2 linked regions of the Lepisosteus oculatus genome follow. Each later gene encodes a partner of the first gene's protein in a complex. Links are inferred from orthologs where the notes say so. Each region holds a gene or a part of one and is shown in the gene's direction. Other genes may lie near its edges.

Region 1 (7,075 bases):
GTCAATTTGATGGATTTTAGCGTTTACTGAAGAAAGAGGTGCAATAGATAACTTAAAGAGATCGCTATATTGTTGGTCAAGAGGCATCAAGAAACTCATTGAACGATATTTTGATTTTTAATTTGACTAAAATAATGTAATTGTTTTGCAGTTATCAACTGGGTACGGATCAGTTAAACTCTCCCCAATTCTCCCCAATAACAGAAGATACACTCCTTTCGGTTATTGTTTTATTAAATTAATCTGTCAAGCATCTAACAATGAAAACATAACTTTAAAACGTTTAGTTAAATTAATTGCATAGTCTCAAGTTGCTGTACTCACATCCTTATCGTGTCTTGGACAGAATTAAAGTTTCTTTTTAATTAAGATTGACTAAGGCTATTACTCTTAAGAAGTCTAGACAGTACAATGGTTGTCAACGGAAAGGACATTATTATTCATATGGAATATTAAACTATAGTTCTGCTAACTAAACTTTTTATCAAGAAAATTAGCTTCATATTGGAAGACACAGATTTAATAGTAGTTCCCTGCTGCGGATATATCCCTATTACAACGTTAAAAAACCATGGTCTAGTTCTCACGTTCTCATTTACATTTCTACCCTAGTTTTTCGTGACATACTCAGATGCCTTTCAAATTTATACCACTCAGTATGTGCATTGTTTGGAAAATGAATGTTGATTACAGCTTCTTTCGAAACCTGATTTACGCCACCGACGGACGCTCTATTTATTTCAACATTTGACAGAACTGTGTTAAAAATGAAGCACCGCCGCTGGGAGGCAGCCGTCGCTCGGATTACATCAGATTCATGGTTAGCAACGGGTTTTCGCTGAATGATTTCATTCATCATACCCAGAATGCACAGAGAGACACTAAAATAGCAAGATTTTCAGGTATCATGGCGTTTGCTACCTCTGCTTGAGCCGTCTCCCCGTTTGCTGGAAAGGATTTACAAAGAACAAGAGAGCAACGCCAGTGAAGCGAGTCCGACAAATTAAGCGCACCACTGATGTTCTGCTGACCAGGATTAGACCAACGCTGGATAGACCGTCATGGCAGCGTCCGAGCTGTACACAAAGGTAATGCTGGATTTTGTATTCCGCTTGACGGTGCGGCGTTCAGATTGCAGCTGCAGCTTTTGCATGTTACTGTTTCCCAGCAGCCGTCCCGTGTTTTGGGATGCGCGTCTGAGTTAAGATTGTATTTCCCGTTCTGTGATGTTGTCCCCCCCCCCACAGAAAAAGAGCAAACCAGCTGCCGGTGGAGCAGACGATTGAACAATGGCCAGGCAGGCAGGAATGAATGAATGACATCTTTTGATTTTTGGTTCTCCGCAGTTTAATGTACCACTGAATTGCGTGTGTGCGATGTGGCGCTGAAACGAGACTTTTGGTGCTACAGTGCTGCTGCTGCAGGACACCGTTTTTTATTCCTTTAAAAAAAAAATCAGTGTCTTACGAATGCTTGTCTGATTCACCCGAGGGCAGTTAAATTAACCGGTACTTGCACAGCTCTGTCCTTCAAATGTGCTCAGAGACGTTAAATTCTACCATATTCTCGGAATTATTTTTTCAAGTCAAGGGGAGAATGGATGTAATTATTGTTTTTTTTTCAGAGTATAGCTATTTTCCTATAAATTAGATTGAGCACATTTAATGCTTATGCGTAACTGTGGAGTGTCAGGGGGCGATGGTTGCAGAAAATACTGCTGATGGAAAATCAAGTGCTACTAACGAACCTCCTTTAGAATTTAACATTCTTTAAGGATATGGACGAGTAACAGTCCGGAATAAGGCTGTTTTTTCGAGGGCTGCATCTTCAGCCCGGTGTTTACTGTGTGTGCGAGTCGGACTGTGAAGTTGAACGAAGAACGCAGGATAGGTACGGCTGTGATGCTGAGCCAGGCCATTTCCATCAGTGACGATGCACTGTGGCGCAAGGTGCCCCAGCCACCTTGCCTTAACGCTGTGCAAACCGCTGCCTCTTTTTGTGCTGTGAAATCAGCACAAGGCAACCCGGTAATGGATGAGCTGTTGATTGGATTCACTGTACACCGTTGACAGATTCATCTCCATAGAATGCAGTTGATTGAAACTGGATTTATTAGACCGTAATTATTACTGTACATTCTCTGTGTAGAGGCGCGCTATTATGTTGTTACACGATATAAATACATGCTAATGTACAGTTCCGTTATTATTTTTGCTTGAAAAACACAGTCAGATCATAACCCATTAACTAATTAAGCACCTTGGAGAGCAGCTTTGTTAGTCCTGGTTCAGGCTGCTGGCCCAGAGGAGTAGTGGCAACATCACAGTCCATGGACTGGAGTCTAATGAACTGCATGCCCTCAGTCCTGCATTGCTGATCAAATTGGCCTTATCACTACTCTATGCAATATATTGAAGTGTAAGGTCAACAGAATTTATTTTCTTATCTAAAAAATAGATTACTTTTAATAGTGTGACTGGAACTATAGGAATCGCATGCTATGAATATGAGCATGGTTTATAGACTAGGTTTTATGAAAAAGTATTTTTTCTTCATCTGTGCATATTTTTATTAGGCCATATTCACAGCACATCCTGTAATCTAAGCAGTGGCAGGAAGGAGAAAAGCATAACTTTAAGTTTAGTAATTGCAGTATTCCAGGGCAGAATAAATAGTCCATTTGTCTTAAGCCAGCGTGTGAGAACTTCATTAGCTTTGTAAACATCTCTAAGGGTTTCACAGCTGACAGACACAGGAATGTTCAGGCATACTTTAGTCATCAGTGTTTGCCTGTGCTTGTACCAAGCTTGCATTCAGCTGTCCACATCTGCCTTTGTGTAACCTGTGTGTTACAAAAAAAGTTAATTGGTTTTTGCAAAGAAAATGCTCAGAATGTTCTTGTTCTTAGAACAAGTTATAGCAAGATTGAGGCAGATTCATGAAATCGAATTATTTTGTCCATCTCTTGAAGCAGAAACAGAAACGAAATGCGCCAAACAAAACACATTCTTGGCTGTTCACGCAAAATAAAAGCATGGTTGCATTAGGCATGGTGGTAGCGAAGATGGGACTGATACCGAGGTCCTTGCGATTTGTTTAATCTTGCTGTCTGCAGTCCCTTCCCTGAGGAAATGATGTAATAGCAATGCAGTGCTCTGTTTGGTCTAGAAGTGTAATGAGCCTCTTACCAAACCTTGAGTTCCTAACCACAAAGAGGCAGTGAGCACAGATGATGTAAGGCTCAGGCAGAGCCAGCAGCTCATGGACTTGGCCTACGCCTTCACTGGCACAGCAGCTCCTGATAGGGATGCATGGCTACAGATTTCTACAGTTTCTGCACCTTCGAAACTAGGGCGTACCAGTGCATGCAGATTGCACAAGATGGGCTCATTTCTCACTTCTTCTCACCTTCTCCCTCAAATAAGGAATGCACCTGGTTTAACGTAATGTATTTAAAAAATGAAAAATGCCAACAAAAAAGGTTAATGCAGAAATAAACACAAATGTATGACAAGGAAGTTGTGGTCTAGTCATTGAAACAGATGATTTTAGCCATACATACACATGCTTTAAATAGAGTAATTCTGCAGTATGCAATATTGTTCTCTCTTTATTCAGCATGTCTTTAACAGAGTGCTTTGCTGCTGTGTGACTTTGCTGGTTCTCCACTGAAATATTGCAACGTCAGTTCAGTACTATGCCTTTGAATGTATTTATGCACGGAATGTTCAGCAGAACTTTATTTGATTGTATGCCCAAGTCCTGTGTCCCCTAACATATTATTTTTCCGTAATTGGTCCAGCTTTCAAATTAATAGAAATGTGTGGGTTTCCAAGCTTAGGAAGAAAAGCAGTTTCTGTGCTCTGCATTAACTCCTTGCCTTGGAGGCAATTGGTGATCCACTATCTTGTAGACCATGAATTGTCATAAGACCAGCTGTGTTCATAATTGTCTTACTACGTAGCCCATTCGAAAACACTCTCCCCTTTGTGCTCTAAATGGGAAAATAAAATGCCATTGAAAGATAACTGAGTACACATCATAGCAATCAGAAATTCGCCACTCGTACTGGGCTGTGTCTGTGCTCTGGAGGGCTGTGGAAGTGTCCTTCAGCTCCTAGTCTCACTGGTGATAAGTCCAGCAGTGTGGAATATCAAGATTCTTGTAGCTACAGTAGAAGCCCGTAAACACTTGTAGCTGCAATGGAAAGCCTTCATCAAGTGTGACTTCAACCAATCCATTTTCTCTGTGCTGGCTGCATTTCATGTCTCAACAAAGTTATTAAGCTCGTCAGTAAATAGTGCTTTCAAAGAGCTTGAAGATGAACCAGGAGTTGGATTTTATGTACGTAAAAGTAAGTACCTCCATATCTTGCTTTGTTTGTTGTTCATACATGTGAAGGTAAGCAAAGGAGCTTTTGGTGTGCTTCAGATAGGCAACTGGACATGCCTTTATCATTTCCTGAATTATCTGATTGGGTCTCCAGAGAAATAATTTTGACTTATGATATTTTGGGTACAGAACCTTGGACGTATCACAAATGATCAGATGAGTTATTTTAGGAGGAATTGCTAGTGTTTGCTACTGTCAAACCAGCTGTGGGTTTGACTGTTTTCCCATTTTTAATCATTTGAATTTTCTCTGAGAGTGTACTTTGTATTTTTGATAGCGAGAAGGCAGTATCCTTAACATTGCAGTGTTGTCTTAGGATTAAACAAAATCTCACACTACAGAAGAGTGTTACACCCTACAACTCTGAAGACACCAGGACACATAGCATGCAATGAGTAAAGTGATACCTGAAGTGAGAATTATTACAGAAAGCAAAATAGTTCAAGAACCCTGAAACATGTTGTCTGAAAAGGACTGAAAACGCTAGATGTGCTTTACTGTGTCAGTCCTCTGTTATAATTGCTGTGTGTTAGCAATTGTCACTCCTTAGAATACATCCAGAAAATAAGACCCATTTCTCATGCATGATTATTCTTTTGATAACATTAATAATGGGTGGTACGTGATGCAGCATTGACGCTTTGCAGGGCTGAGCTCTGGGTTCAGATCCTGGGGTGTTCTCTGCACGGAGTTTGTATATTCTTCTTTTGGTCGTGTGGGTTTCCTTCAGGTGCTCTGGCTTCCTTCCACAGTCCAAAGACATACTGTTAGGTCAATTAACATCAGGGAAAGCTGGCCCTGGTGTGTGTTTGTGTTTGTATCTGTGCCCTGAAATGGACGTGTGTCCTGTTCAGGGTGCTGCGTTGTTCCTGTTGCTTGCTATAGGATAGGCTGCATTTTTGGCTTACTGTGATCCTGTAATGGATAATTGGTTAAGAAAATGGTTGGATTTGTAATCATTTTAATTTCCTAACCATGTGTCTGTAATGCATGGGGCAGTCACAGTTACCTGCAGTAGATAAGCAAAGTTGCTGATACTTCTCCTTTTGCTTCTGGGAGCAGGGCTTCACAGATTGAGACAAATACCATGATAACTGGATGGCCAGCCTTCTTTTCTTCCAGCCCCTCATGACGCAGGTGACAGTGGGACCCCTTCTGTTCTTCATTCCATAGCGTTTCCGAGGAGCATCCTCAAACAAGACAGTGTTAACTGTAGAGAGCTACTTAGAACTCACAGTAGATATCTGTGGTAACAGATTCATTTAATAGCAAAAAGGACTGTGGAAAAGAAATCTCAATAGTAAAAGCACAGGAATATATTTACTCCTATTGCCTCTTGTGATGATTTCAGTCCTTCCAGATTAGAGAGGTATGACAAAAGTAGAAGTACTTTGATGCTGTACTATGGAAAGCCTGTCAGTAATGACTTAAAGGGGAGTACAGATTTTATAAATGGGTGATTGTGGGTTTTTTTTGTACTACGGCTGGTGAGAAGTCCTTATAACACAAAACAGAGGAACCATATAGCACAAAACAGGAGGGACCATCCAGAAGACTGGATGTCTTGGGCAATCCAGAAAAGCAGCAGATTCTCACATGAACTTCTGTCATGTGATGAGCTGTTTTGAGTTCATGTTAGATTAGCAGTGGCTCCTTCAGATTTTTGTGTAGTCATGCATAGCCTGAGACTCAGTTACTGCATTGTGATGATTATATCTGCAACTCAGCATTTTAACAGCTATAAGTGGCAGACAGCAAATAGCAGAACTAGACCTATGTGATGATCAGAAAAGGCAGGGGTGCAACGCTGAAAAACTAGTGAGAATATAAATATTATATTAAATATTCTACATATAAGCCTTTTCAATTAATCTGTAGCTCATGTGCTTTCATATATACAGTAGGGGTTTGCATATTTAAGACCACCTTGAAGCAGTTTGTTAAACTTTAACTGCAGTTATGATTCACAGTTAAAAGTATTTTACTTGTGGGAGAGGAAGGTGTATCCAGTTTGCAACACCCTAAGGGTACACTAATTAAATATTTCTGTTACCCATTTTTCAACAGCAGTTGTGAAGCTCTTTGCTGTATATTTCTCAAGACTCCCAAATATGCTGTGATATATTTATGCCATAATGAAAAGAGGTCAAGTTTAAGAACTGTGGTCTCTGTATTTGCAAATAAATATTTTCCAGTGTTCCAAACAAAAGAAGAAATCAAGGTTTGACATTTGAAGTTACGCTTGTTGACGTAGAAGGTTAACTCTCAATCTCCATTTGGCTGAGTACACTTGGAAACACTAGGGACCCAAATGAATTCAGCAACTGCATAACCCTTTATTTTATGCAAAGGAACACAAATGGTTTATTTCATTGCTGAAAAGAAAATAGACTCGGTGTTTGGACTGTGGAGCCTTCTTCAGCCTCCTGAAGAAGGCTCCAGAGTCCAAACGTTGAGTCTCTTTTCTTCTCAGCATGGAATAAAACGTTTAGCTGTTCCTTTGCAGCCTATGCATGCTGACACAGCTACCAACTTGAACTTCTTTCATTTTATGGTTGACTGAAATGTTCACACAGTATTCTAGGGATAGTAGTTTCTAGGCTGATATTTAAAATTACTGGGACATTATGCAAATATCTTCCTGTTAAAATCCTCTTGTAATTTCTTTATTTCACTGATGTAA
Region 2 (7,557 bases), on another chromosome or scaffold:
ATTGTTGTAATCATTGCTTCTAGACTAAATATATGTGTGCAATAATAGCCAAAATTTCTTTGTGAGAAGGACTTCAATTGAATAAGATTACATTTTACAATTAAATGTAGTCCTTTGCTTTCTTGCCAGTGCTTCTCCATAATTTTCCATAATTTTCATTATATCTAAACGGTTATTTTTATGATGCTCACAATTTACACTGAATTTATTAAATTGTAAACCAGGGTTCTCAGTCTGTGGTTTAAAGCTCCTTTTTTGCTGGTTTCAGTAACTACTGGTTTTTGGTCACTAATTATTATTCCTTTATGTGGCTACACTGCTGCACATTTTGTTAATATTTTGTTATATACAAGAGCTGCCTTCTAAGGTTCTTTTTATGCTTTAAAATATTGACAGATTTTATACTTTATGAAAACAGCATAAATGATCATGCTTAATTCAAAAGCTGTCTTCTATGATGCAGAGCACAAGACAAACAGTATGCAAAGTATTTTCTGTCTGCTTATTGACAGCTTTGTATTATGAACCTTGGGCTTTACTGTGACATGTTAACTCTGAATTCATAACCAGTGACTTAATATAGATCAGAAGAGTGGAATAGCTATAATGGTTCAGATTTTGATGTGAGTGTGAAATTAAAAAAAAAATTGGGGGAGTGGAAACAAAATGTGCCTTAAACATGGTCTATATAATCACACTTAATTGGATAACTGCTTCCAGAGGGATTAATCTTCTGACTGAAAATGCAAATGAGAGAGGACATGAACCATCATAGACTGTTCCGACAAAACATCTCTGCATTTGTGGCACAAAAACACCCGAGATATGACATTGACATGACCACTTTGACTGAACCTGATGAGTTTGAGAAGAGCAAGTCAAGGAAGGCAGAGGTGGATATACCTTCTTCTGAAAGGGGAAATTGGATATAGAACATCAAATTCATGGAAGCTGATTTGCCAATAGGAATGAATCCATCAACCATCTTAATGGGAGCCCCAGAAAAGGCTACTTGAGAAAGATTTCAATGTCTATGTACAGTAGGCACATTGTTTTCATTTTCACACACTGTAAGGAAGCAATGCAAAAGGCAAACAGAATGTTGGGATTTATACTTAAAAGTGTAGACCTTAAATTGAGGAATGTTAAGTTAAAACAATACAGTGCACTAGTTAGACTTTATTTAGAATATTGTGTGCAATTTTGTCCACTATAACACAAAATAGATATTGATATTATGGAATCGGTCCAGAGAATAGGAACCAGATGCTGACAGGCTGACAGAATTGAATCTTCTTAGTCTTCAACAGACAAAAACATTCTCAAAGACACTGTCAAAGTTAACCTAATGGACTGCTTCAGAATCACCAGTGAAACAGGAACCAGAGGACTTACATGGAAACTACAGGAAAATGTGTGTAAAAGTGAGTTCACATGGTAGAGTACCTTTTCTTTACACAAACGTTTCTGGGAGCCTGAAACAGGCTATCCAGGCATGTTGTTGAAGCTGATACTTGTGCTTCTTTCAGGAAATGGCTGGATAAAATCTTCAGGTGAATAAGTTACTAAAAACGTAACAGGTTAGATGGGCTGAATGGCCTCCTCTCGCTTGATAACACTCATATTCTTATGTCCTGCTAACCGTGACAGATCACATCCATCACATGGCTTGAAAAATAAAGCAGAAAGGCAATCAAACAAAAAGCTCTTTATACATTACAGACTGAGCTGCCAAAGGCATGGTAATCCTGACAGAAGTTTTTTTTGTGTGCTAATGTTTTGCATGTAGACAAAGTTAAATTCAAACTAACTAGAAAATAATAAAATGTAATTTACCCTGTTGAAGCAGATGGGAAATGTTATTATTTACAGGGTATTCCTTACCATGACTTAAAGATGTACGTGCTTTTCCTTAAACCGCTTGCTAATACATGTTTAGGGCTTTTTTCTGAAAATAAATGTTTTCAATAATCTATAGTGATACTGCTCTTCTAAGGTTTTGCCTACTGTACAGAAGAAAAAAAATACTGATTGATCTCTACCATCGGTTCTGGAGAGTTTCAATTCTTTTAATTTGAGAAATGTTTAAAAAATATAATTTCCCAGTACTGCAATGGACAGCAGTCAAGGGTGTGTCCTTGTTGCTTGCTCCACTAGATTCCAGCTCCCCCGCGGCCCTGTGTTGGTTGAAGCAGTTATAAAATGGATGGATGGATTATTTTCCAGTTATTAAGACAATTGGTTCAGTTAAGTAGCTGAGAGCTTGGTTTGAAAGAAAAACAAACAACACTAAGGTTCTCCAAGACTTGGATGTGAGATCTCCCTTAAAAGGCTTTATCATAGTATATACAGTATATGCATAGTAGTTTTACTGCTTTTCCATGGTTTACCTGCTAATACTAAGCATTTACTATGCTTTACTATGACTCCCAGCATTTATCATGCCTTACCATACTCTGTCAAGCTTTTACCATAATTTCTACTCCCTCTCTTTTTGTCACCATATATATTTTGTGCTGATAAGGGACCAGGTAAAATAAGTGTAGAGAAACCCTTTTCTATTAAATTTCCAATGTTTTCTGATTTATTAACATTAAATGCATTATTGCTCTCGAAGCAAGACAGGTGTGTGCACAGAAAGAGCTAGAAAGGAAAACTATTCAAGCAAACTGTAGGGGCATCCAAAAGCATAACCATGATCTTTGCTTTAAAAATCACCCTCCTTTCACCAAATGACTTCAGATTTGTACTAAACGCCGACTGCTGATTTAAAACAGTGCTAATCTTGGAGTCTGAGTAGCAAGAAAATCAGACCTCTTATTTACCTTATTTAGAATTCAGGATCCAAACAGGGAAAACTAAAGCCAGATAATGTATCCTTCATATGCACAACACACAGAGCAGAGTTGGTACCACTGACTAACAGATTAGTTCTACTTTTCCTATCCTGTACAGTACATACTGTGTACTAGTACTACATGCTTAATAAATACTAGTGCAGAGATCGAAAAAATGTCATTTTCATTTGGAAGATTAGCTTTTTCACAGCAGAAAAAAAATGGAATCACTTCTTGCAGAGAGCACATGACAGGCACATTGACTCAGATTTTCCTCATAACACGAACAGTCGAAGTAAAGTGTTTCATTCACGTCTTTAAAGAATATTCTGTGTCTGAATTTTCACAGCATTGAAAGTTAAGTTAAGTTTATAAACTAATTATAAAATAGAGGACGGTAGATAAGATGTTGTTGACACATGGAAAAGAAGCTGTTTGTTCGAAGTTCTTCTGGCTCAAACTGCCCAAGCACAAATAGCTTGTTTTGCTGGAATCCGATGAACAATTAATTGGGCTCTTTACATAATGCTGAAAGGCATTTTAAAATCCTCATGTCTGTCGTCAGAACAAAACAAAGTTGAGAAGTAGTTAGTTTCTAGGTCAGTGTTTTCCACATGTATGGCCTATGGACATCGTCCAGAAGATCTCTTAAAGATGAAAGTGCCCAAATTCAGCAATGAATCCTCCCTGCTTTACACCAGGGCTAAAACAATTGCATTCCTCATGGCTTCCTCTTAAAGTCTGTTATGACTTCAGTGTGCTAATTCTGTCTGTTCAACAGTTTGGACAAACCATGATTAAGATGGTGCAGACCAGGCATGATTTGAATTAGTTTGCTTTGCTGGTTTTACGCGCCTGCCTGAATTGACAACCTGGCTGTGAGGATGAGGATGTCAGAGCCCTAACTTTTTATGAGGGATGATCCCAGGAGCTCCTGCAAGATTTAATGATGATATTTACAGTATGTATACTGTAAATGGAAGTAGTCAAGACAAAGTTTGGACCTCCTCCTGAGCTTTTATTGAAAACGCCCATTAATCAGAGCAAAATATATAATTAACCATAAAGAAAAAACACAATATAGTCTTTCCACATACATTATTTATTTAGAAATATTTTATTGTGAATTACCTTTTATAAACATCTACCTGAGTGGTTAACACTAGCACTACAGTGAAACACTTAGAGGTTAACTCTAAGTGTTAGTATAGCTTAGATTTATGACCTACACTAATGTGAGAACACATGTTCATACAAATATATTGTGTCCTTAAATAAGATTAACACGTACTGTACTAGTGCTGGTACAAGTAACTATTAAATCTCCCACATACTGTAGCTCTGGGACTCCAGAAAAATATTTTTATTCTTCAAAACTCCTTATGGATCGTAACAAATACAGTAGTCTTCAGAACACTTTTGGGATTCCCAAAGGGAAAAAGCTGAAGAAAACTTTTCTTAGAAATAATAAAGAATTCAGAAAAGGAGTCTTGCTGGCATCGTGTAAAGGTTTTAGGTCACCAAATATGTGGGCGTCCTGTACTATTTTGATATACCTGTACAACAAATTATTTGCATCCGTGAGCTAAAAAGTCTTTAGTTTTCTATAAATATGTTCCGTAAACAGCCATGTTAACTAACCTTGTGATATGAAATGACCCGTTGTGAAAGTGCAAAGGGGGCGGAGATTGGATACCCCCCTTAGTTAACTTAGCATGTGATTAATTTACTTAAACCCTTTTACAGTTTTGCTGTCAAACTCTCCAGGGATTAAAGCTCGTAACAGCACAGTCAGGGTACAGGTGAAGGTAAATATTAACATTTTAAAAACTGGTTAATTTTCGGCTCTTCTCTTTACATTTGCGTCGATAATGCAGAAAATGTATTTTAAAAATCAATAACTGTTTTATTTTCCCTCAGCTGATATCTTGACGTTTGAATTTAAACAGAATAAAACTGAGGTTGAGGTTTTCTTTACAATGCAGTATATCTTATAACAGTACACAACAAATGCATACAAATGAATGATAAAAGTCAACAACTGGAATAAAAAGTAAATTGTTGTTGTTGCCAGAAATACCAGTAAATAAAACAAGTAAGGCGCATTTTATATTGCAATTCTGAACGTAATGGCAAGATATTAGTTAGCTACTGGCATACCACTACACAGTTCTTTTTCACGTAGATGGTGATACATCCTAAACCACCCTTTTTGTGCAAATAGGACTTTTGCATAACAGGTCTGATGTAAAGATGGTGTGTCACCCGGATTCAGAAAGGGCGTGCTTCTTTTAATATGATGCTGTTGCCTTTGCATAAAGTTTTTTTTTAACTGTAGCGTTAATTATTGTTTCCTTGCTGAAATAACAATATATCAACAATTGTACACTGCGTGGTTTGTATGAGGATGTTAGATCATATTTTAGTGTTATAGTGTTAGTATACTGTATATATAATGATAACACTTAAACGTGTGAATATTTTTTGGCCAAAAACATTTTGTCATTATAAAACAAATGAGCATTATGAAGCATTGTACAAAAGCCAATTTCCCTGCTGAATTGGATTCTTAAAGTTATCTTTAAAAGATAAATAGCAAAAGAGTTTTAGACAAAATGTAAATATTTAACATCTTAACATCTTTTTATACATAGTTAATAGCATTCCATATCCACTTATTCAACCTTAATGCACAGGTTCTTCTGTCTTTAATGACGAGAAAAAGAGAATATGTCGTACAGTATATATTCTCTTTTTCTCGACAAACTGTTGTTAATTCTTCTGACGTCCTTGCTGGATATGTGCTGCTTAGTGTACCTAGTCTTATTCCGTCTAATATTTAAAAAAAATATATTTAAAATACTATTTTGAATATCTGCGAATTATTCCCTTTACCTTCGCACGAGATTTTAACTTTGTATCGTATCCTGATGCTACCCATTTCGTTTGTCCGTTTTTACTATAATTTCACTTAAATGTTGTGCATTTTAAGTAAATTGAATTTAACTTGACTACGATTTGTTAGCCTTAGAGTTAGACTTAGGCAACTGTCATTGATTTGCAAGGGCGCACTTTAAAAAGAATATGGTCTATAAAGGAATTTACCGATACTAGTACAGTAGGCGTCGATGTAAGTAGCCAACTCGTTTTAATCTCAAGAGATCCAAGGTGCTTAAATATCTCACACCCTCAAGATTGTACACACACAAAGTGCCAATCCTTGTTTTACCTTTACTCGTAATCAAAATATTAGTCAACAGGGCGTGCCGTTTTCTTTTTCAAATAGCATTATAGGAATATTGATCACGGGTTTTGTATTACAGGGAGAAAGTTTCGGTAAACGTGAAGTTAGCGCTTTGCATTGACTACACGACGTAATAGTGAACCTACTGTAGTTGGTCACTAATACGACTGTATTATGTCATGCAGTTTTGTCACAATTTCAAAGTAAATTTATTAACAAATCCCCTTGTTTATGATGTTTTTTTGACGAGTATAATTATCCTTTGGATTTGGCATTTTATCAAAATTTTGATGTTAAAATAGTATACTGTTCATACAAAATATTTTCATTTTTTTTGTTATTTTTATTTTGTATCATTTGTAACGGGAAAACGTAATGGCCTTTCAACATAAGGCCCCATTCAGAAAACAAATACTAGTTTATATAAATACACAAAGAAAGATGGATAATTTATAAGCAGTAGGGATAATATTTTCGCTCTATAGTTGGTTTCTTTACAAGATGGAAGTTTGACTGCTTATTGTGGGTGGAGTAAACATGTCCCTCCAGTAAATCCTGACCTGCAGGTCATGAATTCGTTTAGTCCACAGTGCATAACAAACACCATCTAGGCAGGTTATTAAAACGTTCTATAACTTCTGTGTAAAAGACTACTAAATGAGAAATCAAATAATAAGATTTAAAGTAATAATGCAAAAACAGTTTTTCAGGAGCATTAATTTACTCAGAATTTAACACTGCTAACATAGCTTTTAAGTTTTTTACCAGTATTAAATGAATAGCCACAAAATTATATTAGTTATACAATTATGAAATGTACATATATGACTAATAACTGTGCCATTAATCATTACTAGGGATAACTCGATTATTGACACTGTATTAATGTATTACGTTATGACGGATTTACACAAGAGTTTTCACTCCCTTTAATAAAGTGTTATCTATTTTTTGGTAACTGAAAGGTAACACCTGCACATCAAACATTAGTGATATCCATTCAAGAGTGACCATAGAGGAGTTAATTTACTGAAGTTTACTACTTTATTTGCTTATTATCGCTATGTGATCTTACAGTGGTCAAAAGGTTTGTGGAAACATGTTAAATAAAGTGTTGTATATATATATAATATTTTCATTTGTGCAACAAATGGACTGTTTTAACAAATGTGGCAGAAAGTCGGTTCCTAATCTCGCCCACTTCTACTCTCCTACATACACAGTATATACTGCAGCTTGCCTCCTGAATGTCCCTTTGTGCTTCTCTTTTGCACCCTTCTCGACACCTCTTCTTCACCCTTCCAGCAGCTCCCTTGCTCATTCCTCATGAAAGTGAAGGGGGAGGGGCCTGTGTCAGCCTCATTCTTATGGTTAGTCTGCCCTTCCCCCAGCTAGGTGAGTTACACTGCTGACCAAACTACTGGAACACTGAATAGCCATTTGCATTATTTTCTAAAACCAACTTGAAGTTACATT

What was found. The genes of interacting proteins can lie anywhere in the genome.
Region 2: the proteins of myo5aa (region 1) and melanophilin are in contact, whole or in part, in a crystal structure (PDB 4KP3), measured with the Mus musculus proteins. The link is inferred for Lepisosteus oculatus from reciprocal best matches to the Homo sapiens genes MYO5A and MLPH. Residues at the interface, in NP_034994.2 of Mus musculus: Asp1524, Val1527, Arg1528, Leu1531, Thr1532, Ile1535, Asn1536, Lys1539, Ser1570, Gly1571, Leu1588, Thr1589, Asn1590, Phe1591, Asp1592, Leu1593, Ala1594, Glu1595, Tyr1596, Val1599; in NP_443748.2 of Mus musculus: Lys184, Lys186, Arg187, Leu188, Leu189, Ser190, Phe191, Arg192, Asp195, Phe196, Glu197.

The regions. Positions count from the first base shown.
Region 1 is NC_090700.1:44,823,304-44,830,378, reverse strand, and holds the start of myo5aa (unconventional myosin-Va), read left to right. Parts: upstream 1-4,065; 5' UTR 4,066-4,321; coding exon 4,322-4,354; intron 4,355-7,075. UniProt on the Homo sapiens protein: Processive actin-based motor that can move in large steps approximating the 36-nm pseudo-repeat of the actin filament. Can hydrolyze ATP in the presence of actin, which is essential for its function as a motor protein. Involved in melanosome transport.
Region 2 is NC_090707.1:10,066,245-10,073,801, forward strand, and holds the start of melanophilin, read left to right. Parts: upstream 1-4,556; 5' UTR 4,557-4,645; intron 4,646-7,557. UniProt on the Homo sapiens protein: Rab effector protein involved in melanosome transport. Serves as link between melanosome-bound RAB27A and the motor protein MYO5A.